Zea mays: one gene and its partner. The protein of the gene in region 1 binds, or shares a complex with, the protein of each later gene. Links are inferred from orthologs where the notes say so. Each region holds a gene or a part of one and is shown on either strand. Other genes may lie near its edges. The genes, in order: Exosome complex component RRP4 homolog-like and Exosome complex component RRP41 homolog.

Region 1 (16,272 bases):
AGAAGGGAGATAAGAACAAGTCTTATAACATAGGGAGATAATAACATTGTCATGACTATGTACTTCCATGATGTATGTGGCCATAAGCACATTTGGCCTAATGATTATCAAACAAAGATAGGTAGTCAAAAAACACTAAAAATAGACATCATATAAGAAGTAATTGACAACCAAACAATAAGCAATAAGCATATTGACAATATATGTAAGTGAAAATATGCACTTATGAATATGCAAACAATAAGCAATAAGCAACAACCAAACAATAAGCAATAAGCATATTGACAAACATTTAATCTAAGCACTGATAATCAGGGATAACCATCGATTGGGCAGAATGCATATACACAACTTGTCAATATGCACTTATGAAATATACACAATGAAATACTCCAAGTACTTGAACTGAAATATACACAATGAAATACACAATTCTGCTTAGCATATACACAATTTGTAGAACATTGCTTGCTTGTAGAATATACACAATGAAATACACAATAAGAATGCATATACACAATTTGTAGAACATTGCTTGCTTGTAGCCAATGGAACCTGAACTGAATTAAGAGCTCGGGGAAGAAGAAATGGAACCTGAACTTCGACCTTATCGAGAGGAAGAAGACAGAGCTCGTGGACGGCGACGCTTCGGGCTCGGGGACCGTGACGGCGGCGCTTGGGCTCGGGGACTCAGCGCTCGGGCTCGGGGACGGCGGGCGCTCGGTCTCGGTCTCGGGGACGGCGTTGCTCGGGCGCTCGGGGACGGCGGCGCTCGGGCTCGGGGACGAGGACGGCGGGGCTCGAGCTCGGTGAAGGGGACGGCTGTGCTCGGGCTCGGTGAAGGGGACGGCGTTGCTCGGGCGCTCGGGGACGGCGTCGCTCGGGCTCGGGGACGGGGACGGTGGCGCTCGAGCTCGGGGACGGGGACGGCGGCGCTCGGGTTCGTGCTCGGGGACGGGGACACGGCGGCAGCCTGGCAGCACACTATGTCAGCTCGGGCGGGAAGAGTTAGGGTTCCTGCCGACCAACGAGCCTTTTATATTGTAAAGAATCCTAGGCGGATATTTAGCAAAACCGCCTGTGATAGACAACATCACAGGCGGTTGTTAATTCCGACCGCCTGTGATAAATTAACTTCACAGGCGGTCGACATAAAAACCGCCTGTGATGTTATCTATCACAAGCGGTTTTGCTAAATATCCGCCTGTGATGTGTGTACACTATAAAAGGGCTAGCCCCCGACGGGTTCCAGAACCCTAACTCGCAGAACCCTAATTCACAGCACTGTAGCGGCGGTGGTTTTTTTTGAGATCTACAGGGAGAAGGTTTTGTTTTTGAGTTTATTGATTGATTTCAATAGTTTATGCATATATATGATCTCCATTTGTTTTCTTTCTCATTTTGATGCGATTTTTTGCCTCAATTTTGTAATATAGAACGGATTTGAAGAAAAAGCTTTGGAATTCAAGATTTGGACTTATAATAGTTGATCTAGTTTAAAGATTCTTTAAAAACACAATTGTCTCACCTCAAGGTATCTATTGTTGCAATGTTTGTTTTATTTTCATGCATATCAATTCGTTTCATGTTTTATGGATGAATTCAATTAATTGATGATTTTATTGATGTTAATCAATATAAGGATAGGTAATGGACTGAGGTTGGATGTACAATGTGCCAAGACCACATCCGTTGTATATTCGAAATTTGAGAAGCTTTATTGAAGCGGCCAAAAAGCACGCGAATTTGCGAAAGAGCAAGGAGATATTATGTCTGTGCATCGACTGTGATAATAAGATAGCTTGGAGAGATACAGGAGTAATCCAATCACATCTGCTAAAAAGAGGGTTTAAAAACAATTACACGATATGGTCAGAACATGGTGAGTTGGATCCGTGTGAAGTGCCTGGTAATGACGAGAGAGTTGTCGGAATTTTAGATCTTAAAGTTGATGGTAAAGTGGATAATGTGGATGCTAATCAAGATTTTGAAGAATTTGATTGCGAAGAGATGTTGCGCCATATGGAACCAGAAATGTTGAGTTATGTGGGATCGCAGAAAGGGCTATCTAAAATGGAGGGACTGGAAAGTGCTTCAAAAGAATCTTTATATGATGAATCAAAGGGTTGTGACAAAGAGTTTACTACACTGCGTACAGTTCTAGAACTTCTGAAGTTGAAGGCTAGCGCCGGATGGTCTGATACTAGCTTCACAGATCTTTTGAATTTTCTGTCCCAATTACTACCAAAACCCAACAAACTACCAACAAACACTTATAAAGCGAAGAAGCTTATATCTTCCATAGCTCTGGGTGTGCAAAAAATTCATGCATGTCTGAACCATTGTATTCTGTATCGTGGCGATTTTGAGAACGCATCAAGATGCCCAGTTTGCAATGTCAGTCAATACAAGAAGAGCTACAATCAAGACTGTGTAAAAAAATTCCCGAAGAAAAATAAAAACAAGAAATCCACTATTGGACCTGAAAGTGACGATGACACTTTTGATGACATGGATGGGAAAAAGAAGTCAAAGAACCCAGCTTTGGTGATGTGGTATCTTCCAGTAATTGATCGCTTAAAACGTTTGTTCTCAAATCCTAGGGAGGCTGAGCTTATGCGTTGGCATGCTGAAAATCGCAAGTAGAATAACAAACAGATTCGACACCCTGCTGATGCATCACAATGGAAAATTTTTGATCTTATGTATCCTGAGTTTGCCAAAGAAACCAGAAATGTAAGATTTGCTTTGGGTACAGACGGAATAAATCCATTTGGTGAAAAAAGAAGTGTACATAGCACCTGGCCCGTGACTTTAACGATGTACAACCTTCCATCATGGTTGTGTCACAAAAGAAAGTACATTGTGTTGACTATTCTTATTCAAGGTCCGAAATCAGCTGGTGTTGATATTGATGTGTTCCTAGAACCTCTTATGGAAGATATGACAAAGCTCTGGAATGAAGGAGTTAGAATATGGGATGAGTATTTCCATGAGTATTTCAACTTAAGAGCAATTATATTTGTTACCATCCATGATTCTCCCGGTGGCGCCACACTATCAGGGCAAAAGACTAAAGGAAAGAATGGTTGTGTAGTGTGCGTCGATGGAACTGCTTCCATGTACCTTAAATCATCCAAGAAGTTGGTGTTCATGGGACACAGACGGTTCTTGATGAAGCAGCATAAGTACCGAAAGATGAAAGCGGAATTTAACAATCAACTGGAAAGTGAAGGTGCACCAAAGCCTTATAGTGGGAAACTTGTTTTTAAAATTGTAAAGAACAATCATGTTGTATTCGGAAAGGGAAAAAACAAAGGAGAAAAGAGAAAGAGAACTGACCCTTCAACTTACACAACTTTCAAGAAGCAATCAATTTTTTTCAAGTACCTCCCATACTGGAAGGATATGGAAATTTGCCACATCATTGATTTGATGCATGTAACAAAAAATGTTTTTGACAACATCATTGGAACCTTGCTGGGCATGCCGAGTAAGACAAAAGACGGACTCAAATCACGCAATGATCTAGTAGATCTTCAAATAAGACCGGAACTTCATCCAGTGGATAGTGGCAAAGGGAAGCCTTACCTCCCCCCAGCTAGCTACAACTTGTCAGTTGAGGAGAGAACAAAGATTTGCAAATGTTTGCGTGGGGTCAAAGTGCCCACAGGTTTCTCATCCAATATCAGCAGACTAGTCAGGATGAAGGACTTGTCTCTATTTGGCTACAACTCTCATGACTGCCATGTGATGATGACGGTGTTCCTCCTAATTGCGGTAAGAGCCCTCGAAACAGAGCATGTCAAAGTTGTCATCACACGCTTGTGTTACTTTTTCAATGCGGTTTCACAAAAAGTAATAGCTTTAGAAGACTTGGACTATCTAAAGGCATACATCATCGAGACTATGTGCAAGCTTGAAATGTGTTTTCCTCCATCATTTTTTGATATACAAGTACACCTAATCATACATCTCGTGGATCAGATAAAAATATTAGAGCCACTATATTTACATCATATGTTTCAGTTGGAGCGATACCTGGGATTATTAAAAGGTTATGTGCGAAATCGCGCTCACCCAGAGGGTTCAATCATGGAGGGATACACTACAGAAGAAGTGATTGAGAGCTGTATAGATTACATCAGTGACGGAACAATGATAGGTGTGCCTGTACCTAAACATGAGGGTAAACTATGTGGGAGAGGGAGAATGGGCAAGAAAACTTTTCGCGTTGAGGATTACAAGCTAGTACATTGTGCTCATGGTAGTGTACTACAACATCTCACGATAGCCGAGCCTTACATAGAGGAACACCTGGATGAGCTTCGTAAAGAAAATCAGAACCGCACAGAGGACTGGATCATGAGGGAGCACAAACATCGTTTCAGCGAATGGTTAATGGACAAAAACATCCCATTCGGAGACTCTTTGGAAGAGAAAACAATGAAGAATTTGGCTTCTGGGCCATCGTGTTTTGTGACATCATGGCAAGCATATGACATCAATGGGTACACATTCTACACTAAATCAAAAGACATGAAAAGTGTTGCACAAAATAGCGGTGTTCGTATCGATGCTTTTGACCTACATGGACAGAAGACCACATATTTTGGATTCATAGAGGAAATATGGGAACTTGATTATGGCCCAAGCATGAAAATACCCTTATTTAAGTGCCAATGGGTACAACATCCCGTGGGGGTGATAGTGGATAACTACGGACTCACACTGGTAGACTTAAAGAAAGTAGGATATAAAGATGACATGTGGGTTCTCGCCGAATGTGTTGCACAAGTGTTCTATGTACTCGATCCAGCAGATGAGAAGATGCATGTAGTTATTTCTGGAAAGCAAAAAATTGTTGGAGTTGAGAATGTGGGAGACCAAGATGAGGAATACAATAAGTATGAAGAGATGTTCGTCTTTAACGGTCCAGAGAGAATCAAGCGTGTGGAAAAGAAAATTGATAAGAACTTAAAGCCATACATGCGGAAAAATGGTAGTTCATGAAAAAATGTATGAATCAAATTGTATTTGTTATCATGTATGATCGACTATGAATTGTGGTTGCCAATTAATTTAAAATCTCTCTAGTTATCTATGTGTGCTATTATAATTCATTTAAATTGTATTTGCATATTATTGTTAAAAATTAAATATTAATTCATTTAAATTGTTTTTGCATATTTCTGTTAAAAATTAAATATTAATTCATTTAAATTGTATTTGCATATTTCTGTTAAAAATTTAAATTATTTTCATATTTAAATTGTATTTTCATATTTTTACAATAACAGACGGTTTTTTCTTAGGGTCCGTTTGTGAAAAGGATAGAGCACCACAGGCGGTCCTAAACAAAAACCGCTTGTGATACTATTACATCACAGGTGTACTGAACCGCCTGGGACATCACAAGCGGTTTCTAACCGAACCGCCTGTGATGTAAAAAAGCCTACCGCTTGTATAGAGCCAAATTGTACTAGTGCAAACGGGGCTCACGCCTCCACTCGGATCACCCGTTAACAACTCATCGTAGACACCATGCCCATTGTCCGTCAAGGGTAGCATGGCTCTTTCTCCCTCTTCCTCCTTGCGGAAAGGCGACGAAGACTCATATCATTAAAAAGTCAAGGAGTTCCCTGATCACCCTCTCGCCCTGTGTAGAGGCTCGGGGGCTGCCCTTGCACACATGTTGTGGTAGAACTGTTGGAAAGTCCAGCAACCTAACGAAGAGACTCGGGGCTGCCTTTGCACATAGGCCACGACCATGTGACGAACGAATGACAAGTCAATAATACCTACGGAGGGAAAATAAAGACCTCGAATGAGTCAACCACTCCTTCGAGGCCTCGGGGGCTACACCCGACGGGTGTGCTCGTGCACACCCATCAGAAATAAGTCTACCATATCTTTAGGGTTAAGCAACATACCTACACAAAGACGGAAAAACCCCAAGCAAGTGCCAACACTTCCTTGGAGGCTCGGGGGACACGCATCCGAGCCCCATACCCTGGCCTCGGCTCTCTGCTCGGTCAAAGATGCAAATACAGGGATCAAACATCCTCCTCCTGGCTCAAGTCAACAACAAGTACAAAGGCCATACCAAATACCATACCGGCTACAGCCTATAGGGGCTCAAACACATCTCCGCTCCCATACGCGACAAACCATGGCGCTCGTGGAGGCCCTCCTTGAGGCTATAAATAGAGGAGCCCAGGGCTTCACTAGGGGGGGCACTTCACAATTTTTCACCTCCACAACTGATATTGACACTTGCCTCAATCACGAGGGATTTGTGAACTTCTCCATCTCCCGACGGACTTGTATCCCTTACTACAGACACTTAGGTACAAGTAATATAAGTTTCATCCCTCTTTGCTATAAGTAGGGTCTTCTTCTGCCCGAACTATGATAAAGATTTGTGTCTTCTTGCACCACTATGAGGGCTTGTGCACGCAACACTAATCTCTACAATAGTAACTTTGAGTATATTCTTGAGACGCCAATATGGCCACGTATTGGCAAAACAAGGAATCATAGGATAGAGCCTTAACGGTAGATCGTGAGAATAGAAGATGGCCACATAACTACCAAAAAAATAAAAAAGAAAGGAACCGGCTATAGAACTTCCTTGGCTTACCACGGGTACACCGTACACCTCCTAGAAATATCCTTGGCCTTATAAACAATAAAAAAGAAAGACCATACGATTAATTAGGAAGAGTCGTTTGTTTCTTTCAGCATGGCCTCATAAACAATAAAAAAATGGATCATACGAAGAGCCACCGCTTGCTTCTTTCAGTAGAGACACAACTATTTGAAGAGCCGCTTGCTGTTACACATCAGGCGAAGGCAAAGGTAACAAAAAAAATGGTTTCCATCTGCGGTAGCTACGCGACCGTGGAGGAGAGCGCCGCCTGTTTATACTTTATACACCTCGACGATCTCGGTGCCCGCTCCCAAATGCTAATAGTTTCCTCTGGGGTGTGATTAAAATTTGATTTCTTCTCTGTTCAGTTCAAGCTAGGGTTAACACTTTTTAATGGGATGATTCAAAACTAATAGTTGCCTTCTTTTTCCCCACTAGATCTGCTCTAGGCTCTAGCTGATGCAGTTCCAACTTGCTGCTACATATATTTTTTCTAAACATTTCTCCCTACTTATCTAACTTCCTACATGCGACACTTTGCTCTTGCTGTTGCCTATCTTTCTCAATTTTATCGTGATAGTTGTGTGGTTCCCTGTCGCTCTCTCCTCTACGCAGATTAGTAAAGGGAAAAAGAACGATAAAATAAAGCACCTAGATTGAACATGATAGCTCACAGATTTATATATTGCATAACAACTGTAAGAGTATATGCTTTATAGTGCCTTTCGGATTGTGTAAATTCAAAAAGCCTTATTCACGTGCGTATATAGATGTTATAAAGAATTAATTAGAGAAGTGGTTATTTTTTGTATTTTAATGTGATTTCTATTTATGATCTGTTCCTGATTTTTTAATTATTATTTCAATCACGACTCTAATATTGAAATGTTAATGTGGATTCTCATTCTAAAGTCTGCAGTATGTGGCCTTTTTAAGTATCGTGTTTATGAGTAGAATCAGTTCATATACAATACGATTAATATCAGCACACAGATTATAGCAATAACGCTACATCTTTTGAGCTATATATAAGCATATAGCTATGGTATCAATCTTATGTTATAAACCAACACAATATAAGTATTGAACTCGAGCATCTTTTTGTTAATATTTTACAAATAAGCTACTAAGGTGGCACTGGAATATCTTAACTAGTACTACAACGCGGCGCGCCGTTTTCTAGTTCACTGGTCGGTAGGATTCTCGGATCAAAATACCGACAGAACTCCTTTCAAGGTTTCACCTTTATCCCATGGTCGGAGAAATTCTTTGTAAAATTAACTCCTAGAATCAGATACAAGATGGATATCCAGATTTAAAAGCGCCACGCCTATTTAAGGGTATGTTTGACAGGACTCTGGTTTGTCCCAACATAGATCTAGCTCTAGTTTTTTTTCTTCTAAAAAAGCAGGTTTTTGGTAGAGCTGAAGCCATTTCGTAAATCGTTTGGCATAAATGATATATCCCAGAGCAAGAGCCATTTCCCTGTATTAAACTGCCAGAGCCAGAGCTAGTGAAGTTACTATTTGTTTTTCTTTTCCGCAGTACAGAAATTAGCTAGCGAACAAATAGCTAGCTAAGTATTAAATAATTTGCTAAATATAACTAATAGCTCAATTATTAGTTAGTCTATTTAAAAGTCTTTAGCTGATTTTAGCAGCTAATTATTAGCTCTAACATATTCAAACACTTTCTATATTTAATACTTATAGTTATTATTTAAATATTTGATAGGGTAGAAACTAATCTACAGAAATATGTGTTTATACCTATCGAAACTAGAATTGCTGTGAAGGTGTTTAAATTTTATGTCGTTCTTTTTTTTTGGCGCCAGCCCGCTGGCGGCCGCGCCCCATACCGTGCTCTGGGCCGCTGCGTGGGTTGTGTCGGTCCATAGCCCAGTTGGCGCCGGGTCGGGTTTTGCTAGGGTTTACTGCTTGTCTTCCTTTCTCGGCAGTCGGCACCTTCGCGGCTTCGCCTGATCGCCTACGCCGCTTCGTCCTGATTCTGATTCTCTGGTGCTCCCAAGAAGAAAGTCAGGGAATGAAGGACCGCCACCTCTCGCTGAACCAGACCCAGCGGGTCCGCCTCGAGGCCGCGCTTCAAGAGCTCCAGTCCGTTGCGCCCGCCGCCGTGTCCGCCGCCGCCGTCACCGTCGCGGACACCATTCCCGTCAATCAAGAGGACAACATCCTCAAGTACAGAGCCTCCCTCACACACACTCTCTCTCTCTCTCTCTCTCTGTTTCTTTCTTCCCCTTCCTGTCCATCCGTAAGCAGCCGATGGGTGGGTGCTCGTGGCGCAGGGGGCATGGGACGTCGGACCAGGACGGGGAGGTGGTTGCGACGCTCTGCGGGGTGGTGGAGCGGGTCAACAAGCTGGTCTACGTCCGCACTCTTCGCGCGAGGTACGCGCGCGGCTCTGATCTGTTACTCTCCAATGGCGTACCTATTCCTCTGCAAACTGTGGATGAATTCGGTCCTGGATTTTTATCAATGCGGGCAAATACACTGAATTGTGTTGTGAACTTGTTATGCTGAATTTAGTGTTTGGTTGATATTTAGCCTGCAAAATCTAGGTTGTTTTTCCTGGATTCGTATATTTGGTGAATAATATTACAAAGCCTATATTTCTTGGCGCTGAAGTAGGTTTACTTGATCTTATTCCCCACACTTATTCATGTTTTTTGTTGAGAAAAATGAACTCACAAGAAAAAAAAACTTAGCCCATTTTGTTCTCTTTGACCCCTCTTCAGATACAAGCCGGAGGTTGGTGATATCATAGTTGGCCGTGTGATTGAGGTGTGTAAATTCATGCTCATTTTTTTTTGCAATACTTGGATGTTCTACATTTAATTGGCATAGAGTTTTTGATCATGAAATCCAGAACATTTTTCCATGTTTTATAAAGTGCAGATATGATAATGTGTTTGCCCAGAGACTGCATAGATCAAACTTATTTTACCTGTATGTCGGTTAAGTTCGTAGGCCGTAGCTCTGACTAATTATAGGTGTTTAATGACCAATGGCCTTTGATGCATGTCCATTCGGCGATCAGAGTAATTAAGCAAGTTTGAATCTTATAGCAGTCATGTTTGTCACTCAAGAATTGAACATTATTTTCTTTATGGTGCAAACAACATACTGCATTTTATACCACAATTAATTGGTTTGTGTTTCTCAAGATTGCTCCTAAGCGATGGAGGTTGGAGATAAATTTTAGCCAAGATGCTGTTCTGATGCTTTCATCTATGAACTTGCCTGATGGTATTCAGGTGCGCTTTTCTGCTTTGCCCTGTAACTCCTTAAAATTGAACAGGGCGACAGGCTATAAACAGTTTGTTTCATATATCATTCTGGAGGATAGATAATACTGAACACTTAGCGGTAAGCACCATCTAAAGTTTTGAGCACAGCATAATCTCTACCATCAGTATGTGCAAGTGCAACACATTAGACAATAGACACCAAGAAATTATTCTATTTCCATGTTTGCTAAAATTATGTAGTGCAAACAGTCTTAATGTTGTGTCAGCTCAAAAGAATTAATGAGTTTTTTATCCTGATTCCCAAGTTCATTACTAATTACACTAGCAATTCCTTGTCCAATATCCAATTAACTACTTTTTCCAATGCCTCTACTAGAGAAGGAGAACTGCTGTTGATGAACTTAATATGCGGAGTATCTTTGAAGAAAATGATGTTATCTGTGTAAGTGTGATACTTGCTCTATTTATTTCAAGCAGTTATTTTGTCTTAGAGCTGGAGTCAACATTTGGGTATAGTGACTTCAAATCTGTTTTTACTTAGGGTGTTGTGCTGACACTTTTTTGCTTCTGTATGACTGCATCTATAATGCCAGCACCACCACCCACAAAGAATGCATGATCAATGTTGCAGTGCCCAATTTTTGTCATTATTATATGTCAAGGAATCATCTTATTTGCTTGCGCTTCCCTGTTTGCAAATGCCTAAGTCCTGGAGCAACTGCTGGTGTTGTTTGTTTGTTGCTTGAGGTTGATGGCATTTTGAGGAATCATTTTTACACTGTTCATTTGTTGATACATTCCATTGTTAATAATCCTGAGGCTTCCGCAAGCTTCAAGGCGCTACTTAAACATCTTTATGGTTTGCTTTTCTATCATACAGTTGAAATTCACCTGACAGTATTTCAACATGAATCTGGCATTCATATTCACTCGACTAGTCTTATAAAGAATGATGCAAGGCACAGTTACCATTGATTGTTCATCTTTGTTAACCATGTTTGCACACCTACACTAGATCTTTCTTATTTGCATAGAAGCCATATGTGTTGTGGACTTGTATGAAAGGACTTCTTTTGTGCTTTCCTCACCTTTCTTCTCTCATGTTGACAAGTTGCAATGTTTTTCCCGCTCATTTCTTAATTCTTGCATTCATCCCCAAGGAACTTTTGTGGCCTCTATCTTTTTATAGTCTGGTGGGCAATCTCTTCCCCCCACCCACACTGTTATGCAAACTGTTTTAAAATAGTATGCTTCTATTTTGCTTGCAATCCATTACCAGGCTGAAGTTCGAGGCTTCCAACATGATGGATCTCTGCACCTACAGGCAAGGAGTGAAAAGTATGGAAAGGTACATGCCAGCTTAGATGACATTATTTGTGCTACTGTACCATTGTACTATTATCAGTATGTCCCTTTTAATGCCTCCAATTTAGCCTTTTGTTATCTGTAAAAGGTAGATGCCTTTAATGTGATTGCAGAAATGGTCTGTGTATATCATTTGGTGCAACAATGCAAGGGAGACTCATGGATGTTTCATAGATGCGCCTTAACCTGCCATGCCTTTAGTCTTTATTATGTTGATGATATCTTAAGTTGGTCTATGATTTGTACGTGTCTGGTCTAGTTAAAGTCTTGTCCTACCCAAAAAAACTATTGCTTTCTGAGACCCATTAGGTTGATGCTGATATGTTTTTTTTGGGGGGGGGGGGGGGTTCTGATTTATTGATGCAGCTGGAGAGGGGTCAATTGCTGATGGTAGCTCCATATTTGGTTAAACGAAAGAAGCAGCATTTTCATCATCTTGAAAAGTACAATGTCGACTTGATTCTTGGTTGCAATGGATTCATCTGGGCTGGTGAGCATGTTGTGGTGGGTGAAAAACCAAAAACGACAGGAGGTCAGCAGGGGTTCAGCACTGAAGCTGAGAATTTCACCCCATTAGAGACAAGGAAGCATATTTGCCGGCTTGCCAATTCTGTACGTGTGCTCTCAGCCCTAGGATTCACTCTGACCGTCGAACTGATAATCGAAACCATGGAAGCAAGTGCGTCATCAAATGTAGAGATAAATGACATGCTCGGGGCTGAGTTTTACGTCCAGACAGCAGAGAGGGAGGCTAAGCGCCGGGCTGATCTGTTGAGAAAGAAGAATGACGCAAGGTGAGTAGGTAGCGCCCTCGTCATTGCTGATTGGGGCTGCCTGATTTGCGGAGAACAGAGCCTGACACGTTGCGTTGCTCCATCCGCATGAGATCTGTAGCAGTGCCATAATACTTATCTGATGGTATCTAAGGCAAAATTAGTTAACATGTTCTATGTACACCTTTACGGGTAGCAATTAGCAAAGATGTAAGGGGTTCTCTCTGCTCTGATGCTGTACATGCATTTGATCATGGTGTCTGGTGCCGGCAGTGTTGTGCCTGGCAGGTCCGCAGGTCTTTGATCCGTTCGTTGCTGAAGTCGATGCACTTCTGAGTTGAAAAACTGGACGTTCTTCCTATTGAATATTCCAGTAACATGAATTATGTTGCCTGAGAAATGTGCAAGGCATTAGCCTGATGGCTATATGAACAATTCATTTAGCCACTCTATAAAGTTGTCACCACAGGGTGTGGAAATCACCAACGCTTTGTGAAAACCTTATCAAGAAGCATTTATATGAGTGCCTGCCTTGGAGTCGAGTTTCAAGTGACCAATTTACACGAGTGCCTTGCCGTCAACAAATCTGGAGTTACTGATCAGGTAGCACCGCGAATACGATCCTTCCAGATATCGGACACAGCGCATAAGGTCGAATCTAGGGATGGCAAGCAGCGGGTCGGGTAAAGTGCGGGTAAGCCATTTACCCGCCCGTCAACATATCCGCGCCTCTAGTGCTTACCTGTGCCCGTGAAAGCTTGCGGATAAAATTTTTGACCCGTACTCACAGGATATCCGCAGATATCGAGCAACCTATTACCGCTAGAAAATATCATACAAGTATGTGGTCATGTTCATTTCACCAAGAACATCAACTTGACAAACATAATATAATGGCAAGGAACATAGTCCACAAACATGATCGATCATCTACAAATATAAATCTCAAACATAAGTCCACAAACATGATCGACTGGGCTGTGTCCTGTGGGCCGGTGGTATAGGGATATTTTGATGGACTAGTAAATTAAGCGGGTAACAGGTAATACCTGCCGGTAAAATTTTATATCCGTCACTTATCCGCGGGTGAGAAGTGTTGCCCGTATCCTTACCCGTGGACGAGATTTTTTATTCGTATCCATGTCCATCGGGTATGAAACCCGTGAATATCCGTGCCCGCGGGCAGAATTGACATCCCTAGTCGAATCGAGCGTCATGCGTGCGGTCTGTGGATGACGGACGGTAGACCCAAATAAATTACTGTCTTCGTGTTGACAAACACGATATAGAGATATGTGACTGCAACATATTAGAGCTTGTTCTATTTTATTTTATTTTAGTCTCGGAAACTAAAACTAAAAATTAAAATAAATTAAAATAAAATAAATGGATAAAAAATTAGTTTCTAGAAACTAAACACTCTCTTATGAGGTGTTTGGTTTAATGAATCACTCTATTCAAAATGAAGTGGTGTATCATGGGTCCATTCCTTAAATTTGGTGGGATGACTCCATTCCACATATTAGTACTAAACAACTAACTTTGAGGAATAAGGTGGTGATAGATTAACTCACTCCATTCCACAAATCAAACAAAAATTTGAAGAGTGAGAAGATGATTGACTACCTCGTTCCTCAAACCAAACACACCATTAATTTTTGCAACATCACCATATTTCCTAGGAAACATAACATAAAAATGTCGCGATTCTAGGAAACATAGCAGAAAATGGTACTCCATTTATTCTTTTTATTTACTAGTGTATTTTGCGCGCCCTTGCGCGCGTGCTGGGTCCATTAACATGGTTTAATGTAAAGAAAGTGTACATGAACATGTATAAGAGTTGTTATGAAGCAAATAAGCATACGGAAACATGCTATGACGTAAGCAAAAGTTGTTGCTTTGCTCTTTTGTGTTTTTTTGTCGGATAAGGCGCCACATGCTTACGAAATTTATAGCTGAATTTGGTTGCTAACCGCATTTGTAATATCAAATGAAATTACAATATATATCAAGTAGCATTTAAGCAGTGTACTCCAATATGCAGTAACAGTGTGTTTCTAGAGGTTGCATAAGTCAATACAGTTTTAGAAATGCTCCAACAGTTGGTTCATATGTACACAAAAGGCTTTTATATTAAAAAGTGATGGAGCTCTTCTAATGCTTGCAAAAAACCAATACCTGTACATACATGAGAAAAGGAGTAAGATTATTTAGGCTGAAAGTGTGTTAAATATGTAACAGGTACAAAGGAGAATAAGAGGAAAACATGAGGATAGTATGCAAAGGATTTTAGACGGTGTTATACCTTCGAGTGCTTCGTGGTGGGCTAGTCGTCTTCATTTTTTGAACCCATAGAATATGGTAGCTCTTTGTTAAGTTGGGTATGCTTCATCTTGTATGCATTGTTATTGTATCAGTATGGAATAGAAGTTGCGGCTGTGAAATTGATGAGTAGACGTTGTTCTCATTTTCTAAGTAATATCTTGTAACACTTACTTTTTTGGAGGCGATGGTAGCTCGAGCTTGGTCAGCTGATCCATGTCTTTGTAGATGACTTGTGAACGATAAGATAAACATTGCTATCTTACTATGGTAGTCCAAAGTGGGAGAGCACTTTTGTGCCGAAGAATTTGTAGGTGTTTAACTTGGAAAACATGTTTTTATCATTTGTTGTAGAGACATTAACAGTATACAGATATCTATCTTCATTAGTATATATAGAAGTTAAGCATGTAAGTACACTGAATTTACCTCTGCACTGCATGGCACATCGGAATATGCTAGAACACATCGAGCCTATTGAATATATTTCATTAGGTTGTATATCTAAGAGTTGATTTGTTAAAGTTACAAATATTTTTAAATAAGAAGCTCTGTACTGTGTTCTGTACACGAAATCACACTTTAAACTAGCAAGCGTGCATAATGCAGTATATTGGTGGAACACATAGACACACTGGTAAGTATCCTAGGCCGAACAGGACATCAAACATTAATCTATTAGTGAACAACCAGCACGAAGGAAAGTAGATCAAAACTAATGCTAATTACCTCAGCAACCAAGCCTCGCCGATAAAGCCACTGAGGTGCAGAGGTATCACTCCACGTGCTTCGATAAAAGAGCAGAAACAAACAGTACATATAAGACGCGGAGCATTTAAACTTAGTTCAAGAAAAGTAACTGTAAAATCACTACGCGCCATGTAGCAGACAACCAGTGCGAATGGAAGCAGCTTAAAACTATAATCAATTGATTCAATTCTTTTGTAGCCACAAAGGATTCTAGCAATTTATGTGGAACACATAATCAACTCTTTTTACACATCAATAGCAATTTAAAGTGATAAAGAATCAACAACTTGATGGTGTAAAAAACATACCTTTTATGTACCCTAAACCCAAATTTGTAAAAGTTCCAGTGAGACATGCCCCGGGGGGGGTGCTGTGGAAAAAAAGAACAACTAATCCTAGATGTGGAAGTAAATCGAACAGCAAGTAGCTGAAAGAATTTGTTTCCTTCTTTTTTACTCGTTTCTTTCCTATGTCCTTTTCTGTAATATAAACAGTAATCCTTAAATTTGGCCTAAAAACCATACTTTGGATAATGGACAACAGGGAATAAGTAGCAAACATTTCCTTACCGTATTGAAAATCGTGGAAAAAGGGTCAAAATCTCGAAGTGAGAGCATGTGGATGAAAATGTGGCTGCGATCTAATATATAAGTAGCAAACATTTCCTTACCATATTGAAAATAACTGTGAATTCAAACTAAGTTGGGCATAATCGAGTGGGATTGAAAACAGGAACAGAGGAAAAGCAGGGAACCGAAACCAGTGTGGGTAAAACCAAACAAAATAGGACAGAAAAGAACTCTTCAAGGTAAAGAAGTTTTAAAAAATATACGTGGGGAACAACGGATTGACCAACCACAAATTTGTAACAGATCATGTGAAGCATGTGCCGGGGACCAAAAAAGGAAAAGGACTACACAAAATAAGACGAACATATTCAAGGTTTGAACTACAAGAACCAGGGATTAAATCAAACACTACTTTGGGAACCTCGAATCCCCTTCGGGATTGGAGGGGATTTGAGTTTCCAAACTAGCCCCAAGTAACAGGGAGGATTTTTTTTTGCCTTGCTTTCCTTACTTTTTCCTGTTACATTAATCCTCAACCTCAAATTTGGGGGAGAAATCGAACAGATTCAA
Region 2 (16,290 bases), on another chromosome or scaffold:
GTTGAAGTCGTTTGTCATCTTGCTCCACCGAACAGTCCGGTGACACACCGGATAGTCCAGTGTTTCCTGATGTTGCAGACTGATTTGCGACTTCTGTGCTGCAGACTTCGCCGCAGTCAGCGCAGTCAACCGTTGGGCGAAGTTGACTGTTGCTTCGTTGTCTCACTGGACAGTCCGGTGGCACACCGGACAATACGATGAATTGTAGTGGAGGAGCGCTGAGAAAACCCGAGAGCAGCCAATTCACGAGGTGCTCCAGCCAGGGCACCGGACAGTGTCCGGTGCGCCACAGGCTGCACCAATCTGTTTTGCTCCAACCATGTAGAATTCCCCCAAGGTCATTTTCTTTGTATGTTTATGTGAACTTTATGCACCTGAGAAAAATATCCACTAGACAAACTAGTTAGTACATATGGTTTGTGATGGTCGTCAAAGACCAAAATCGATTATAGGAAATGGTTAAGCCCATTTCCCTTTCAGAACGTACTCCCCGTTGAGGAGGCCACAAAGGTCGGGTCTTTTTCAACCATTTCCCTCTATCAATTGATCACTCAGACCGATTGAGTGCTTCTTCTCAATCTCAAGGATCACAAAGACCCCGCAAGGATCACCACACACTTAGGTGTCTCTTGCTAGCTTTACAAGTCACTAGAGAGTTTAGAAGGAGATGAAGAAAGCACGATTACAAAAGCCAAGCAACAAGAGCAACAAATGAAACACGTATCACACTCTCTCAAGTCACTAAACACTATTGATCACTTGTCTTAATTGTGGGACTTTGAGAGATTGGAAGCTTTGAATGTGTCTTGGAATGGATTGCTAGCTCTTGTATTGAATGTATATGAGTGGAGTGCTTGGATGTTGCGAATGGAGGTGGTTGTGGTTGTATTTATAGCCACCAACCACTTCCTAAATGTTGCTCCTTTTCTGTCGACCGCGGGCAGTCCTCGCTCCTGGTCCGGACGGTCCGCCCCTGTACATCACCGACTGGAATCGCAACGGTCAGCAGTAACGGCTATATCAACGACTACAAGTGCATTAAATGTGTCGTCAGATATCAGACAGTGCAGTCGCGGATGGTCTAGTTGTGCACCCTGAACGGTCCGCGAGGACGCTAAAAATTCATTTTACCGAACCCGTCACCTTCAGGTTTTTCTGGATTTTTCAACGGTCGGACGGTCTGCGCCTGAGGCCGGACGGTCCGTGCTTGGTCCCGAACGGTGCATGATTTTCCTTCGGACAGTCAGTAGTGTTAACACTTGTTTTTGCAGTGTTCCTGTCCGAGGCTTTCCCTGGTGTCGCGGACGGTTCGCCGCAAGGGCCAGGACGGTCCGCGCTCAGGAGAATTTCCAAAACACTTCTCTTGTCCGAAATAATCGATGGTATTTCAAATAGTTGACTTAGAATTGATGTATATGAACTTTATGCACCTAAGAAATGATCACTAGGCAAACTAGTTAGTCCATAAGATTTGTGATGGTCGTCAAACACCAAAATCGATTATAGTAAATAGTTGAGGCTATTTCCCTTTGAGAAACATCCTCTAAAGCTACTCGTACAAGTAGGAGGACAGAGTCCTTTGGCGGCTCATCGATCACTGGTCTACCCAAAAGCCGCGGAATACGCTCGCCGAAGCCGGTCGAAATTGCGGTTGCTGCTACGGGCGTGCGCAGGTCGTTCCTCTGATCCTCTCACATGTGAGGTGGTAATGGATTATGATCCAAATGTCTTTTCATTATTTGTTTATTGACCTCCTAAAATTTAATTTAAAAATGAATAAAAATAGAGTCTGATCCTAATATGATCTTGATTCGATCTGATTCTTAAATTTTATAGTGTAAAATTAGAGCTCATTATCACCCGTACTCGCATCACATGCCATGCCGGATGAACTGGAGAGTTCTTTTTAGGCCTGAGCCACGAGTTCGATTTTTGGAGGCAGTGTTACAAACCACAAGTCGTGTTAGATCGTATCGAACATATCACTCATATGGTCACCCAAAACATTGTTTTACACTGTAAAATACGTTGTTTGTCAAGTGTAGTTTGAATGTGGGTATAGAAATAGATAAGTTGTTGTATATAGCCTTACATGTTACATTTTGGTGTGGATAGCGTACACTTTTAAGAGCATTTGTTGGCGTATGGAGACCCACTGAAGCTTCCTGGAATGAATGCTTGACCGGCAAGCTACCTGGCATCATAATCATAACTCATAAAAAAAACGCCCCCTAAGAAAATTTTGGTTCTTTCGGGTAATTAGGTTAACCGAGGTTGAAAACCAAATTAACCAATTTTTGGTTTAGGTTTCTGTCCTAGATCTTCCGTTTGGCTTTTAACATTTGGTTCACTGTGTTCAGCCCTAGCCATGAGATTGAGTTTAACCCCATGTCTTGTTACCCTATAAGCTAAAATTTAGCTCTTGTTATATCAAATATTTAAATGGTAATTACGGATATTAAATATAGTCTAATTATAAAACTAATTATATAGATGAAGACTAAAAGATGATACAAATTTACTAAACTTAATTAAGTCCATATTTCATACTCCTAATTAATATTCAAACGTATGATGTGACACGTACTAAATTTTAGTCAGGGGAACCAAACACAACCCATGGTAGTGGGCTAGGCACCAACATAAGTAGTTCATATACTAGCATTTAGCATATGGTTACTAGTAGATGTCCCGCCATCTATCATTTGGCTTTCATACCCTACGTCCTATCAACTCTAGTTGGATCTCATTTGTGGTTTAATAAATTTCACATCCGTAGATTAAAAGAAAAATAGAGTAGTGCATATTCAAGAGTATTGAACTAAATAAATGTTAGGGATCATTCTTTTAATATATAAGCTACACAATCTTGCCTAATTCAAAATCCATGGGAAAGACACTATTTGCTACAATAGTTTCAAAAAAATCCCATGGGGTTGTTAGTTATAATTCATTAGAATTATTGCACATATTATTGTCCAAATATACATGGATTTCAAAGGATCGTGGGGAAATCAAAATATAGTGAACATGGTGATGCAAACATTTATTACTTGATATATCAAAATAAGAATGGGACGCTTGGCCATTATTTCAGTCTCCATATACACTATTAATCTCCTTTATTTATCCAAAATACATAACCACATTTATTGCACTAGATATATCTAGGTATATGTTGATATTTATATTTATTAGATCAATCTAACTTACAAGGGACCACACTATCTACAAATATACAATGCATGAATAAAAGATCTCATATGAATATATGCATTTATGAGGAGAAAAAAAGATTGCAAGAAATAAATTATGAACATTTACTTCATAGCAATATATATGCATGGTGCCACTATATTACGGAGGTCCTCAAGACCACAAGTGAAAATAGTATTGGGGAGCATACTTTTCTAATTATTGTTGTGTATGTATCAAAAGTCTTCCCTCTACTTGTAGATTTGCTTTTGCATATACAATACATGCTAACTTATATCTTTTGCATATGATTTGATATATGTAGGCGCAAATGGATAAAAATAGTTCAAGTGATTGCAACAAAGAGGAAGAAATAGCCTCGTCTTTGCCTAAGAAGCGTAGAAGGATTGCTAAAAGCACCCCTACCAAGCCAAAGGAAAGAAAAAGAGGGTTTGGGATTGCCAAGCTAGAAAGGATGAGAATAGAAGAGGAAATAAAAGAGTATTTTGAAGACACCCATAGTCCGTCACCAATTCATAGAGTTGGCATCCAAGGCTTGGTAAGCACAATTGTAAGGATATTATCCATTCGTGTGATTTTTACTATAGCATTGTGTCTTATATCATGTCATGGATTACCTTCTTTTCTTTGAAGCACATTTATGAGAATTGACATATATATAATGATTGTTATATTATTTTGCTTATGCTACTTCTTCATTTATCTACCAACAACTTTGTATTTTTTGGCATTATGTGAATATGTATGTATCACTACAACAAGGATCTTCTTGCATGCATTTTAGGTAAAAGGTACCCATCACAGAAACTATTTTATCGGAGAAAATCATCATATGTGACAATGACACATATATTCTAAGGCTAGCATACATCATAATTAGAGATAGAAATGGTATTTTTCAAGGCTAGATGATTTTGTTATAGATTTTTGGTATTAAGGAAAGGGGTTGAAATGTTGCCCCACTACCCATTGAGGTCTTATTACTAGCCTTGTATTCATGCTTCAATGCAATGCCCAAATATTTCGAACTTTGCGTTGTATGAGCCTTCTATTGTTACATCTATTCAAACCTAAAAGCGCCATTTTTATAAACTTGTACAAACTTTGCATGTGCAATACCAATAACATTTCTCCCTTACTATGATGACCTTAGCATTGTATACAATGGTGTCTCCTATGTGGATCACGATTGGACCTCTTCTATTTATTGTAGATGATGTATGGAACAAGAAGAGAAGAGATGAGTGAACGGTTCAAGATTCCTATGATAAGGTCATCTTATGTCAATCCAAACAGCATGATTCCTACACAACTGCATCTCTTTGAAGCACCTAATCATATGGTATGTATTTTGCTCTTGGTCCTTATTTGTCTAGACCAAATTTAAACCATCATTTTCGGTAGAATTATTATGAAATATTTGTGCAATATTTTTTCCTACCATGGGTAGCTTTATGAAATATATGTTCAATGATATATGCACAACACTAAGAAAAAATGCCCCTTAACACTGAATTACTCGAAAGTCCTAGACAGTGAACATGTGCATGGTATTCAAATACATAGGCTATCAAGCTTAGTGATAATGGGTGTGTTCTAACTTCTAATATTTATAGGAATATGATCATATTGACATGAAAAGGAAGGACGATGGGAACCTATTGGAGGAGTCCACCAGCAAGAACTTCAATTATGACCCACAAGAACTTGATCTTGACTTGAAGCTATAATCCTAGAACTCATAGAAGTGTCTAGTCCAATCATTCAATATGATGGTGGTTCCAACATTTTACAAAGTGAAATTGTATGAGTTTGATGCATGGTCTTGAATTTGAGAACCAATATTGGTTCTATAAACTAATAAATAATATGTGATCAAATAGATCAAGGATTGTTCCCTTACCCTGAATCATAAGACTACATATTCTTGATTAAATTGATTAAATAGTATATTTAATAATTTATCTGGTTGCAATTTTTTGCTATGAAGCAATTAAATGTGTGTTTCATGTCATGAAAAAGTAAGATTTTGGAATATAATACTTCTTTATTGATATATGATGTGAATAAAATTCTTTGATAGAAATAGAGAAATGTGACAAGTGTGTTGCATGATAAATATTTTAGGCATTTTTTAAAAATAAAGAATATTATTCTTTATTTGTTGTATAATATATTTCGAGGTTCTTTAAGAATGTCATGTAGCTTTATAGTTAGCAAATGGTGACATTGGTTGTTATTGTTGCATGATAACATTAAGGTATAAAGAGTACTAAAAAGATAGTTTATAGAGAGAGGGGGTATAGGTCGACGGTCATGCCGAATCTAAGCACAACTAGGATCCAACACATGGATAATTAGAAAGGTTTATACCATAGTGCATGTAATACCCTATGTTCTCTTGCTAATTGATTGATGAACATAATGATGAATATTACACGCTCATACATAACCGAGTATCAAGACCTTCTAGCTCCCCTCACTTCTTGGTTACGATGGAGGTTATAGCCTAATGGTCCCAATCCACCTTTATGCTTGCCCTATATGGAGAGTGAATTCTACCAACTTTGAATCGACCTTGGAAGAACCTGTGAATCCCTTGGGTCTAACCCTTTATCAATCTTGAATCACAGGGTCTTACCCTTTATCGTCCTTCAGTCCCTAGGTCTAACTCTTTATCGATCTTGGATCCCTCTAAGGGCTTGTTCAAGTAGGAGGGGATTGTAGGAGATTAAATCCCTTTCTATTCAAAATTGAATAGAAGGAGATTTAATCCCCCTCAACCTCCTTCAATCCCTATGCAACCGAAGAAGGCCTAAATGTTACTTTGCCCCTCCTTTTATAGTGTAAGGGAGGAGAGATGTTACATGGACCTCGAATTCCACTGACTAAAGCCCAAATGTTTCGTCCTTATCATGTTCTTGGATTCATACTCAAGGTCATGCCTTTGGTCATGGCATATTGTCAAAGATGTCCTTTAGTAGTCTCATGACATACCTATCGTAGGGGAGGTTATGAATGTCATATCCACGGACATCGAGCCCATGTTATTTAGTAAGATGTAGTTGGCAGTAAGTGTAACCTTCCATACTTGATAATTCTTTATGGTACATCTACATGCGTATGTGTGGCGACATGGTCAATGCAGATACTATATAGTGGTCTCGAGTACCCTACAACCTAAGTCATGGCAACACCGCGCTTTTCAGGGCTGTAATGGCGCACATCACACCTAATACTTATTCAATAAACAACCGCTATAGACTTATTAGAAGACCTTTTAATTGGGGGTCTCGACCTCAGGGTTGTAATGTCCTTAGTGGGTCTAGACACATCCTTCAGCCTTATGACAGGATTGTACTTAGTTCGCATCAAGTCCCTTGTTCCCACAAGGCTTTGGGTCTCAAAGGGTTTAGAGCATGTTCGCTCACATAATGAGAGGGTGAGGACCTTAGAGCAACTCCAGTAGTTCTCTAATAGACTTCCTAAATCAACAATTTAAGTAGTTAACACAAAAACTCATCTCCAACAGTTCTCTAAATGAACTTTCTAAATTTAACAACTTCTCATCTAACCTTATTTCATCTCTACATTTGGCAATCGTTTAGCAACTCCCTAAACAAAAATGTTTGCTGCATTATGTAGATAATGAAGGTAATTGATGACATTTGTGACTTTTATTTTTTTATGTGGATAGATACAAAACAAAACTACAACCTATATTTAGAGAACTATTGGAGAACTCACATTTTTTACTCCCAAAGTTATTTAGCAACTTCTTAAATCTGTGATTTAGAGAGCTAAAATTTACATAACTATTGGAGTTGCTCTTAGAGCATCTCCAATAACTCCCCAAAAGTCTCCCCTAAATCCAATTTTTTTGAAAAAACACAAAAATGTGTCTCCAACGGTTCCCCTAAAGCGCTCCCAACATTTTTATAGCCCTTAAAACTCTCTCATTTGTAGCTACAAATGAGGAGTTTTTTGGCTCTCCAGAAACAATCTGTCGCTTTAATGGATCTATTGGAGAAATGATTAAAATCTACCCCCACTAATTATTTAGATGTCCCTTAAAACTGATTTTGAGGAGTCGTTTTCTGGAGAGCTATTAGAGATGCTCTTAGGGACCTTGGGACCAGCAGAGAGCCCCCAAACATCTAAGTGGTGTTAAGTGTTCGATGTTCCGAGTGATGAGTTGTTCTGAGCACTTGAATCCTTCGGAGCAAATGGGACCCAAGAGGCACTAAGGACAAGGGGAGGCCCTAAGGCATCAGAGGCCCTAGGGCCTAGTGGGTCCCGGTCCCTTAGTAGCACTTTACGAGACTTTATGGTGTATGTTCTTTTATGGTGTCTCGATGTCAAGTTAATCGATGTCACAACATTTCCAATACAATTGGCTATGGAATTGGACCTCCATTTTCATGAACACAATTCAAGCGTACACCCAAACAGACCTGAATAGAGTTGGGCTTGGGGACTCTGAATAGAGTTGGGCTTGGGTAGTTGAGATCCAAATTTCCGCCTTCAGGCTCGACAAAAAAAAGGCTCGGGTGACAGGGACACCGCGGGTGCAGGCCTCCAGGGGCACGGCGATGGGACAGCACGACTCTCTTCTCTGAGAAAACCCAACAAAAACCCTCGCTCGCCTCACTTGTTCGCTCACCTCGGTGCGGCGCGTCGTTCGGACACGGAGATACAGCGGCGATTCCGGCGATGGAGTACGTGAACCCCCTCACCGGCTTCCGCGTCGACGGCCGCCGCCCCAACGAGGTGATGCATCCTCGCCCGCTTTCCCCTACGCGCGGTTCACGCGAACAGCCCTATCTCACCCGGTGCTGGACATCACGCAGATGCGGCAACTCAAGGGCGAGGTCGGCGTCGTTGCGCGCGCAGACGGGTGAGTTAAGAATCTCTCCCGACTCTGATGGACTGGGTTGAAACGAACAGCTAGCTATTCGATAAGGGTTGGGACGGCGGTACGGTGCTCACTTTTGATCGGTTCTGCTGGTGTTTGTTGCTCTGCGCAGGTCGGCGCTGTTCGAGATGGGCAACACCAGAGTCATCGCCGCCGTCTACGGCCCGCGAGAGGTGATTCCCGTTATCCTACTTGTGTATCTCGGTGTCCACCAGAGTCATGTGCACTGCGTGTTTGAGGAAATGCCTCTTAGAGGGGGTTTCCATTTACTCGTGTACTATATGGTCGGTCGAATTCTCTGAACCAACATCGACTTTGATCTAATCTTCAGTAGTTTTTCCTAGTGAAATTGGGGATCATTTGGAAAAACTGACTTGCCTATTGTTTAAATTTTCTATATGCATGAACAGTGTGAAAACCACTAGGATCCATACTGGCCTATTGCCAGTAGCACATTATTTGTTTATACGTACACAATGTTCATTCCTGAGATGTACTGGAGAACTTGGAATTATGGAGATTTCAATCACTCATGTTCTTTACTTCCTGTCAGACTACTAAACACCAGGGGGCTTCACCTTCTATTGCTTTGTTGTACCTTCAATTTACTTTTCAGTGTAACCAAATAACAAGTTCATGCTCTTTGATTGCTCTTTCAGGTTCAGAACAAAGGTCAGCAAGTAAACAGCAAGGAGGCTTTGGTAAAGTTTCACTCCTCCAAGTGCATTATTTTGTTAGAGGCTGTTCTTTGTGCTGTGTTCCTGAGGGAGTTCTGTATGCAGGTTCGTTGTGAGTACAGGATGGCAGAGTTTAGTACAGGAGATCGGAGGAGAAAACCGAAGGGTGACAGGTACTTTCCAACTTGAACACAGTAAAATTTGATTAAAAGAAAAGTCCATCCTTGGGCATTCACAGCATTTGGTTCACTTACTATCAGGAAAGATTTCCGATGTTGCAAATGTGTTTTATTTCTCTACCTTATCAACAAGCTTCTTTTCTCTGAATCCTGTGTTTTTGGGATCACAATTGACTTTCCCAATACAGTAAACAATCCTCAGTGAATGTATGGGTGTCAGATGTTTTTGTAACAGTATAATAGTTGTGGATGGCTTTGTAGGCCTCACATGCCAATCTCTTTCTATTTACTATATTAAGCATCAGTTTCCACGGTTCCACGGTTTTTTACTGTCGTCGTGCTCCCCCACATTTAAATCGAAAAAGATAAAATTATGCACAAATGAGAATTTGAACTATGGTTGCTGGCTCCAAACTCACATTCACACCCACCTAGCCAAAGAACACACATGTCTTTGTGTTTTATACTCTATACTCAAGCATAAATGAAAATTGTAGCAACTTACGGGCACTTTGCTAGTGTCACTGGAAGCCTGACATGTTCATCCATCCCAGTGTGCAGTGTCCAAGGTTATTAAAACGATAAAACGTTGAAACACTCATGGGTGAAGTTTTGACTTTTAAACGTTTAGACAACATAGGAAAAATACCAATATATCATAATTTCAGACAATAACATGAAATTAAATACCAAAACAGAGAGGTTTATGGATTACCAAAACTTCACCCATGAGCTGGATTGGACCCCAAAAGTAACTAACAGACTGGACCCAAAAGTAGCTAATGGTCTAAAACGCATGAAACACTGCGTTTTACAGTTTAGAACACCAAAATACGGTTTCAACCTCTAATTAGAATTTTGACGTTTAAACTACGTTTAAACGTAGTTTTAATAACACTGGCAGTGTTGACAGCTGTAACAGATGATTAGTCATGAGATTGGTGATTGGTTTGTTTTGTTTCTTCTTAGGAAATTTAGCATGTTTGTTAGATTGGTTTCTTAGGCACTGAGATCTCAAAGGCATCGTCTATTGAGTTTGTCAAGCAAACAGCTCTCCCTAATTCATCTAACCTGGTTTCCGCCTCTTGAGAGGGTGAACTTGCCTCTAACTATATTTGCCTAATTTTTCAGTTCCAAGCCATATCAGTAATATAAGTCGTGTTCAGTACCTTGATCTTATCCGTTTCTTAGTCCCTTTCTCTTTTTGTTCCTTTTTCTCCCTTTGTGTTGTACTTATGAACTTATTTTTCTCTATGTTCTAATATATTAATCTTTAGGGGTGTGACGCTCCTGTTTCCATAAAAAAAATAGGCCATGGTTAAGACCAGGAATTTCATGAGTAGCATCCGGTGTAACAAACAGTGTTGCATTTCTGCAGTATAATTTAGTTGACTTGCTTTAGTTGCTGTTGGGGTGAACACCTAGTGTGCAAAATCGATATAAGCTGCATGAACTGTAGTGAACTTAAGTGGATTCAGCTTGAAGGTACATGGTGTTTCATATCCCATATAACTATGATACTGAACTAACACTACAATCATCTTACAGGCGATCAACAGAAATTTCTCTTGTTATTCGACAGACAATGGAGGCAAGCATATTAACACATTTAATGCCACACTCACAGGTCGGTCCTTTGAAAAACTTCAGTTTTATATGATATCAGGGCCAACTTCCAATGCTTATTATACTTTTTTGCAGATTGATATATATGTCCAAGTTCTTCAAGCTGATGGTGGTAGGTGTTCTGCTTTCCTACTTTCTGATTGTTGAAGTTGCTTCCAGGCGTATTCACTCTCAGAACCTCTATTATTTATTCTGGAACAAAGTTTGTTTTTTGTTATGTACTAAAATGAGGTCAAGGAAGAGCATTTTTCCCGTGGCCTGAGTAGATCTAGATTTATGGTTTGCATGATGAGACAATCTGGGAAATGTAACCAATTATGTTGTGTGCCTTTTATACTTAGCTACATTACCCAATATAGCATATTATTCTTTGCTATCTTAGTCTATTACTACTCATGCTAAAGACGACATGTTTAGTAGATAAGTGTTGCCGAAGTACTTATGTTTTGTTGGATCTGTGGCCATACAAAAATGGATCGAGTCCGAAGCGACGATATACGTGATAGGCTAGTGGTAGAACCAATTGAAGAAAAGCTTATCTAACATCGGTTAAGATGGTTTGGGCATGTCAAACGGAGAACTCCATATACACTACTGCGTAAGGGGATTCTAAGGAGCGATAGTAATGAGAAGAGAGGAAGGAGAAGACCGAAGTTGACATGGAAAGAGGCGGTAAAAAGGGGCTTGAAAGGATGGGATATATCCAAAGATCTAGCCTTGTGTAAGGAGTGCATGACAAACAACTATACATGTACCCGAACCATGACTTGTGGTTTCTATTGGGTTTTAACTCTAGCATACCCCAACAAGCTTGGGATAAAAGTCTTTGTTGTTGTATGACATATTATTCTTTTGCTTCTTGAAAATAATTTAACATATATTATCCAGTCATGCTATAGCATATTATTCTTTCGCTTCTTGGAAATAATTTAACCATAATTTGTGCTTCAAGATTATTGTCATGTTGACCATGACCATGTGTACAACAGGAACAAGGTCAGCTTGCATAAATGCTGCAACACTAGCTCTTGCAGATGCTGGGATTCCAATGCGAGACATTGCCACATCATGTAGTGCTGGTTATCTGTGTTCTACTCCTTTGCTCGGTAAGACACCTTCCTAATTTTCATATCTTTAACAGTAATCTTATGGTATAAATAAAAGTCAAACAATTCTAATGTACTATGCCAGATCTGAATTACCTCGAAGACAGTGCTGGGGGTTCTGATGTCACTGTTGGCATTCTTGCAAAGATGGACAAAGTGACTTTGCTTCAGGTAGAAAGATCATGAATCACATTCTTGCCGCCTCAATTCTCTGTCTCTAGGCGCAATCGTATTATATGCTTCAGTTTTGCTCTCTTGTGAAATACTTCCTTTGTGTTTGATTTCTGCATAGTATTATTCTTTTGTTAGCATCAGAAGGAAGCAGCTTAAAAAAATGCCTTTTTCAGATGGATGCAAAATTACCAATTGATACATTTGAAAATGTAATGGGACTTGCAATAGAAGGGTGCAAAGCAATTGCAACTTACATCCGAGAGGTAAACAAGTTTTTGTTGATCTTCCGTTACTTGTTTTGTTTTCTGTTTGCATGGACTTAGGACCTGCCATTGACACGTTGGAACTTCTGGGTTGTTGACTATCGTTCTGGAACAGGTGCTATTGGAGAATACAAAGAAGCTTGAGTGTCAGCGTGGTTAACCTTAGGAGGTGAATCCCACTTGCCCAGTCTGTTCTACGCTTGAAGTCTGGCTGGCGGGGTAAAACTAACTGTATTGTTCTACGGTTTATCTCCGTACAAGGCAGTGCAGGCAGGTTGATGACCTGAACCTACCCAACAACGGACATCACACAGCCCATTAAAAGGCTTACTGGTTGTGGTTGTGGGTGGCTGGCTCTAGTGCAGTGCACAGGAACTTCCAACGGAGTATGTGCAAGTCGTCAGAAGTTGTTCAAGGCAGCTTGTTTGTCATCATCACCAGGGATACAAGACATGCTTCCTCAGTAAGGTGTTATCGGAATTTTTCGGTTCCTGTAAACTGATATAAATCGATGGTGGAACTGTACTGATAATCTTCCGTATGGTGTTATTGGAATTTGTGTGACAGTTCCTGTAAACTAATGCAGAGAGAGAGATCCAGCGGGGCTCCTGCCTCCTAAATCACTCCCTCCCAGATTGTGGGGTTTTTGTAGAAGCATTTGCGGGCGTGCCGTAGTGCTACACTACTTCGTTATTGCCTCCACCCCCAAACAGCACCAACGAAAACACGGGGAGATCCGAGACCCTACTGAAACTGATAAATTGAAGGCGACGATGTATTGCTAACTCTCCGTAAGCTGTTACTAGATTTTTTTTTTTTGTGTGGCAGTGCCTGTAAAAGGGCCTACAAAACCCCTCCCTTGCTAGTTCACAGCCACCTTGTGCTTATCCTTGGATCTGGAGTCCTCAAGACTTCTGTCTCTGATCAGTGTCACTCTTTGGCCGCTGCTTTCCTCGCCTCCGGGAGCTGGACCTTGCCGGCGCTGGAAAAGGTGGGGGCGGACTTGAGTTGTCATATATACTCTAAAAATTCTCAGTTTAACCTAACTAATCCGGTAACCACTGAAATTGCACAATCGATGCTACCCACAACGAACAGAACAACTCTCAGTTTTTTTTTGCACGCCAGAATCTTGCCTCTGCATCATCAGCGCTTGGATACCAACCCGACAGCTGTGAAGAGGATGAGTGAGCGGTCGTCTTTTAGCCACTGTCAATCGTTCACTCTTCAAAATGCTGTTCGGTCCGAATAATGGCTAACGATATGTGACCTCTAACTAGAGTTTTGATGAACACTGCTTTTAATTGACCACCAGAATAAAAAAAACACACATCCAGATGACAAAGTAAAGACCTTTAAAGTATGACGGAACTGATTACAGAACCGAGCTTCTAGCAATTAGATACTGCGAACTCATGCATTTCATCACACTAAGTGAATGACACAGCAGTGTACATGGCAAACCCGATTAAGCCGTCTTCTTCTTCTTCGATTTGAGCATCACAAGGCCCACAAACACGCTCAAGAACGAAAGGAGAACCACGCCGGCCAGTACCGGTATCAAAATCGCATACTCTTGAGGCAGGAAGTACTTGTGCACAAAGTGGTCGCTGTCGACAAATGGCTAGGTAGGAACAAGATATAACCATTTAGAAACGAAGTCATAGTAGTTCTACTTGGTCTGAAACTGAGGGGGGGTGGGGAGCTTGGAAGCCACTAACCAAAATGATGACCCAGAATGTGTAGTATGTAAATAAGGTTAAGCTTGTCAGAGTCAGCAGAAAACCGACCGCCTTATCACCCAGTTCCATTTGTCTGAAAAAAAAAACAGTAGCCATTAGATACCTTGTCAGAGCTATCAAATGGCAGACGGATGGTTGTCACAATCCAAAGCAGAAAGAAGTTGTTCCATGGCGGTCACTTCACTGTTTTGGCAGTACATGTACACCCCAAACGAGTGCAAGAGAACAACAACAACAACAACAAAGTTTTTTTGTCCCAAGCACGTTGGGGGTAGGTTAGAGATGAAATCCCATATGAAAACCTCAGAGCTCAACCCCAAAGAAAAGAAAAGGGAGACAAAGACGAAGGAGAACCGAAAAACGATGAAACGGGGAAACACATAAATAAAAAGAGATAAAACCCACAAAAACCAGCAAGATCTAAAGGGGCGCAAGAAAAGGTCAAACGAGGACAAGCGAAATTACAATAAAAAGAAAATAACAGTTAAAACAGAATAATAGAAGTTTAATAGCACTCAGTATACTGGATATGCTGCAGTTCCTAGTGCACTGCCATATCCACGCAAAATGATAGTAAACATAAATCCGATATTACAAATTTAGAATAGCGACGCCACTAGGCCCGACTGTTACAAGTGCAAAGCATCAAATACAACAAGTACAGTGTTTCCAACAAGTGCAATTCATCTTGGCTGGACAGCATTTTTCTATTTACGTTACTTTCACATGTTATTAGCTTAAAGTTCAGGAGTTCTTTCCCGCATATTGAAATCTGGTTTTTAAATAAATGAGGTTTAGGACATGCCTTGTCCTAAACATCATATATTTAAAAACCAGAGTAGTGCGTTTTTCCATCAAACATGCAGGAGCAAGGTTTTAAAGTCGTCCGACTAATCACGATTAGTCTGCCTTATCGCTAGTCCGAGCTCAATCAGGGTCTCCGACTCGACTAGAGCAACTAGGTAGCGATTAGTCGTCTTAGTCGCCGACTAATCGCAATTAGTCGTCCGACTAGGGGCTATGGTCGACCAGTTATGCCTGTTTTGGGCCACTAATCCGGCCTCTGTTAGGCTCCGTTCGGTTGTGCCCAACCAGGCCGGGTTCGGTCTGGATTGGGGGGCAATCCAGGTTGAAATCCGACCCCAGTAGAAATCCCGGTTTCTAATTTTTTTTTATGTTCGTTTAAGCCCACTAGAATTTTAGCCCATAGGTTTGGAAATTTTTTTGGCTAGAGAAGGTACTGGATTGGAGCCACGACCCGAAGGGCCTGGAAACAAATCCGAAGCGGGTGACACGAAGAAGAGCAGCGGCGGCGCAAGCGAGAGATGAGATGCTGCTGAGCGGCGGTGGCGCAAGCGAGAGACGAGGTGCTGCTGAGCGTCAGCGGCGACGGCAACATCTTCCCCGCCGCTAGCAAACTCTACTGCACCGGCAAGCTTCTCTCCGGTTGGTCCCTCTCACTTTAGCTAGGGTTCTTGAACTAGAGTCATTTCTTTCTTGATCCTGATGTTCATGGTACTGGTGGTGGCTCCGAATCCACCGACGGGGATGGGGGAGGGGCCATGGGTGCAGGCAGTGGGGCAGCCCGGGGCCACGGTTGGCGTGAGGCCATGAGCACCTCATAGTTTCCTTTTCGAATCGATATGTTCCCTTTCTGATTTCTGCCGGCAGGCGGCGACGTGGGGCAGAAGACCAAGGCGGCTGCGACCACCGGCATGAGGAAGGTGAAAGAGGGAATGTCGCAGGGGTTCCAATGGATCAAGGACAAGTGCCATCACGGCGGCGGCAAGAAGCAGCAGGGCTCCGAGGCCCCTAGGTACTACTGACCCCTGTCCTTATCGCATTAGCATTGTTGCTCGGCTTCAACACGCTGTCTGCTGCTTCCGGTAGACAGCAAATTCTTTTTTTGGTGCTTGCTATTGGTATGAATAGTATACTGCATATAGGTTGTGGGCCGGTGATCCGATATTGGTGGTGTTGCAGTTGTAGAGTAAGTTTCTTCGTACCTGATGTGTGTCGTAGCTACTGAATTGACCACTTCAATGTATATAAAATGATATTTATGCACTTATATTTCTCTGCTCATATTTTTCATCTAAATGAAGGACGATACTTATATTTCTCTGCTCAGATTTTTCATCTAGATGGAGCCCTTTTCCTGTCTCATTTGGGTACCCTCAGTAGTCTAATAAACTAATATTTTTTAGGATAATAGGATGACAATTTCTTGTATACCACTGTAATCTTGTACTATGTCCATTCTGCTACACTCTCCTCCATACATCTTATGCTTGGCAATTGGAAGCAACCAGCCAGAAAATGAACTACCCAATTGCTCATCCACTTTGAGGCATATATGTTTATAAGGCTCACAGAGTAACCAACTATAGCC

What was found.
Region 2: Exosome complex component RRP4 homolog-like (region 1) and Exosome complex component RRP41 homolog share a complex: the UniProt entries of both Arabidopsis thaliana proteins name them as parts of the RNA exosome complex. The link is inferred for Zea mays from reciprocal best matches to the Arabidopsis thaliana genes RRP4 and RRP41.

What each region holds. Positions count from the first base shown.
Region 1 is NC_050097.1:3,987,075-4,003,346, reverse strand, and holds Exosome complex component RRP4 homolog-like, read left to right. Parts: upstream 1-8,615; 5' UTR 8,616-8,695; coding exon 8,696-8,850; intron 8,851-8,957; coding exon 8,958-9,059; intron 9,060-9,407; coding exon 9,408-9,453; intron 9,454-9,836; coding exon 9,837-9,926; intron 9,927-10,296; coding exon 10,297-10,362; intron 10,363-11,199; coding exon 11,200-11,268; intron 11,269-11,651; coding exon 11,652-12,083; 3' UTR 12,084-12,451; downstream 12,452-16,272. UniProt on the Arabidopsis thaliana protein: Non-catalytic component of the RNA exosome complex which has 3'->5' exoribonuclease activity and participates in a multitude of cellular RNA processing, maturation and degradation events.
Region 2 is NC_050103.1:68,997,812-69,014,101, reverse strand, and holds Exosome complex component RRP41 homolog, read left to right. Parts: upstream 1-7,874; 5' UTR 7,875-7,929; coding exon 7,930-7,986; intron 7,987-8,066; coding exon 8,067-8,113; intron 8,114-8,243; coding exon 8,244-8,304; intron 8,305-8,790; coding exon 8,791-8,832; intron 8,833-8,913; coding exon 8,914-8,981; intron 8,982-10,535; coding exon 10,536-10,614; intron 10,615-10,688; coding exon 10,689-10,725; intron 10,726-11,602; coding exon 11,603-11,719; intron 11,720-11,804; coding exon 11,805-11,890; intron 11,891-12,066; coding exon 12,067-12,156; intron 12,157-12,271; coding exon 12,272-12,316; 3' UTR 12,317-12,773; downstream 12,774-16,290. UniProt on the Arabidopsis thaliana protein: Non-catalytic component of the RNA exosome complex which has 3'->5' exoribonuclease activity and participates in a multitude of cellular RNA processing, maturation and degradation events.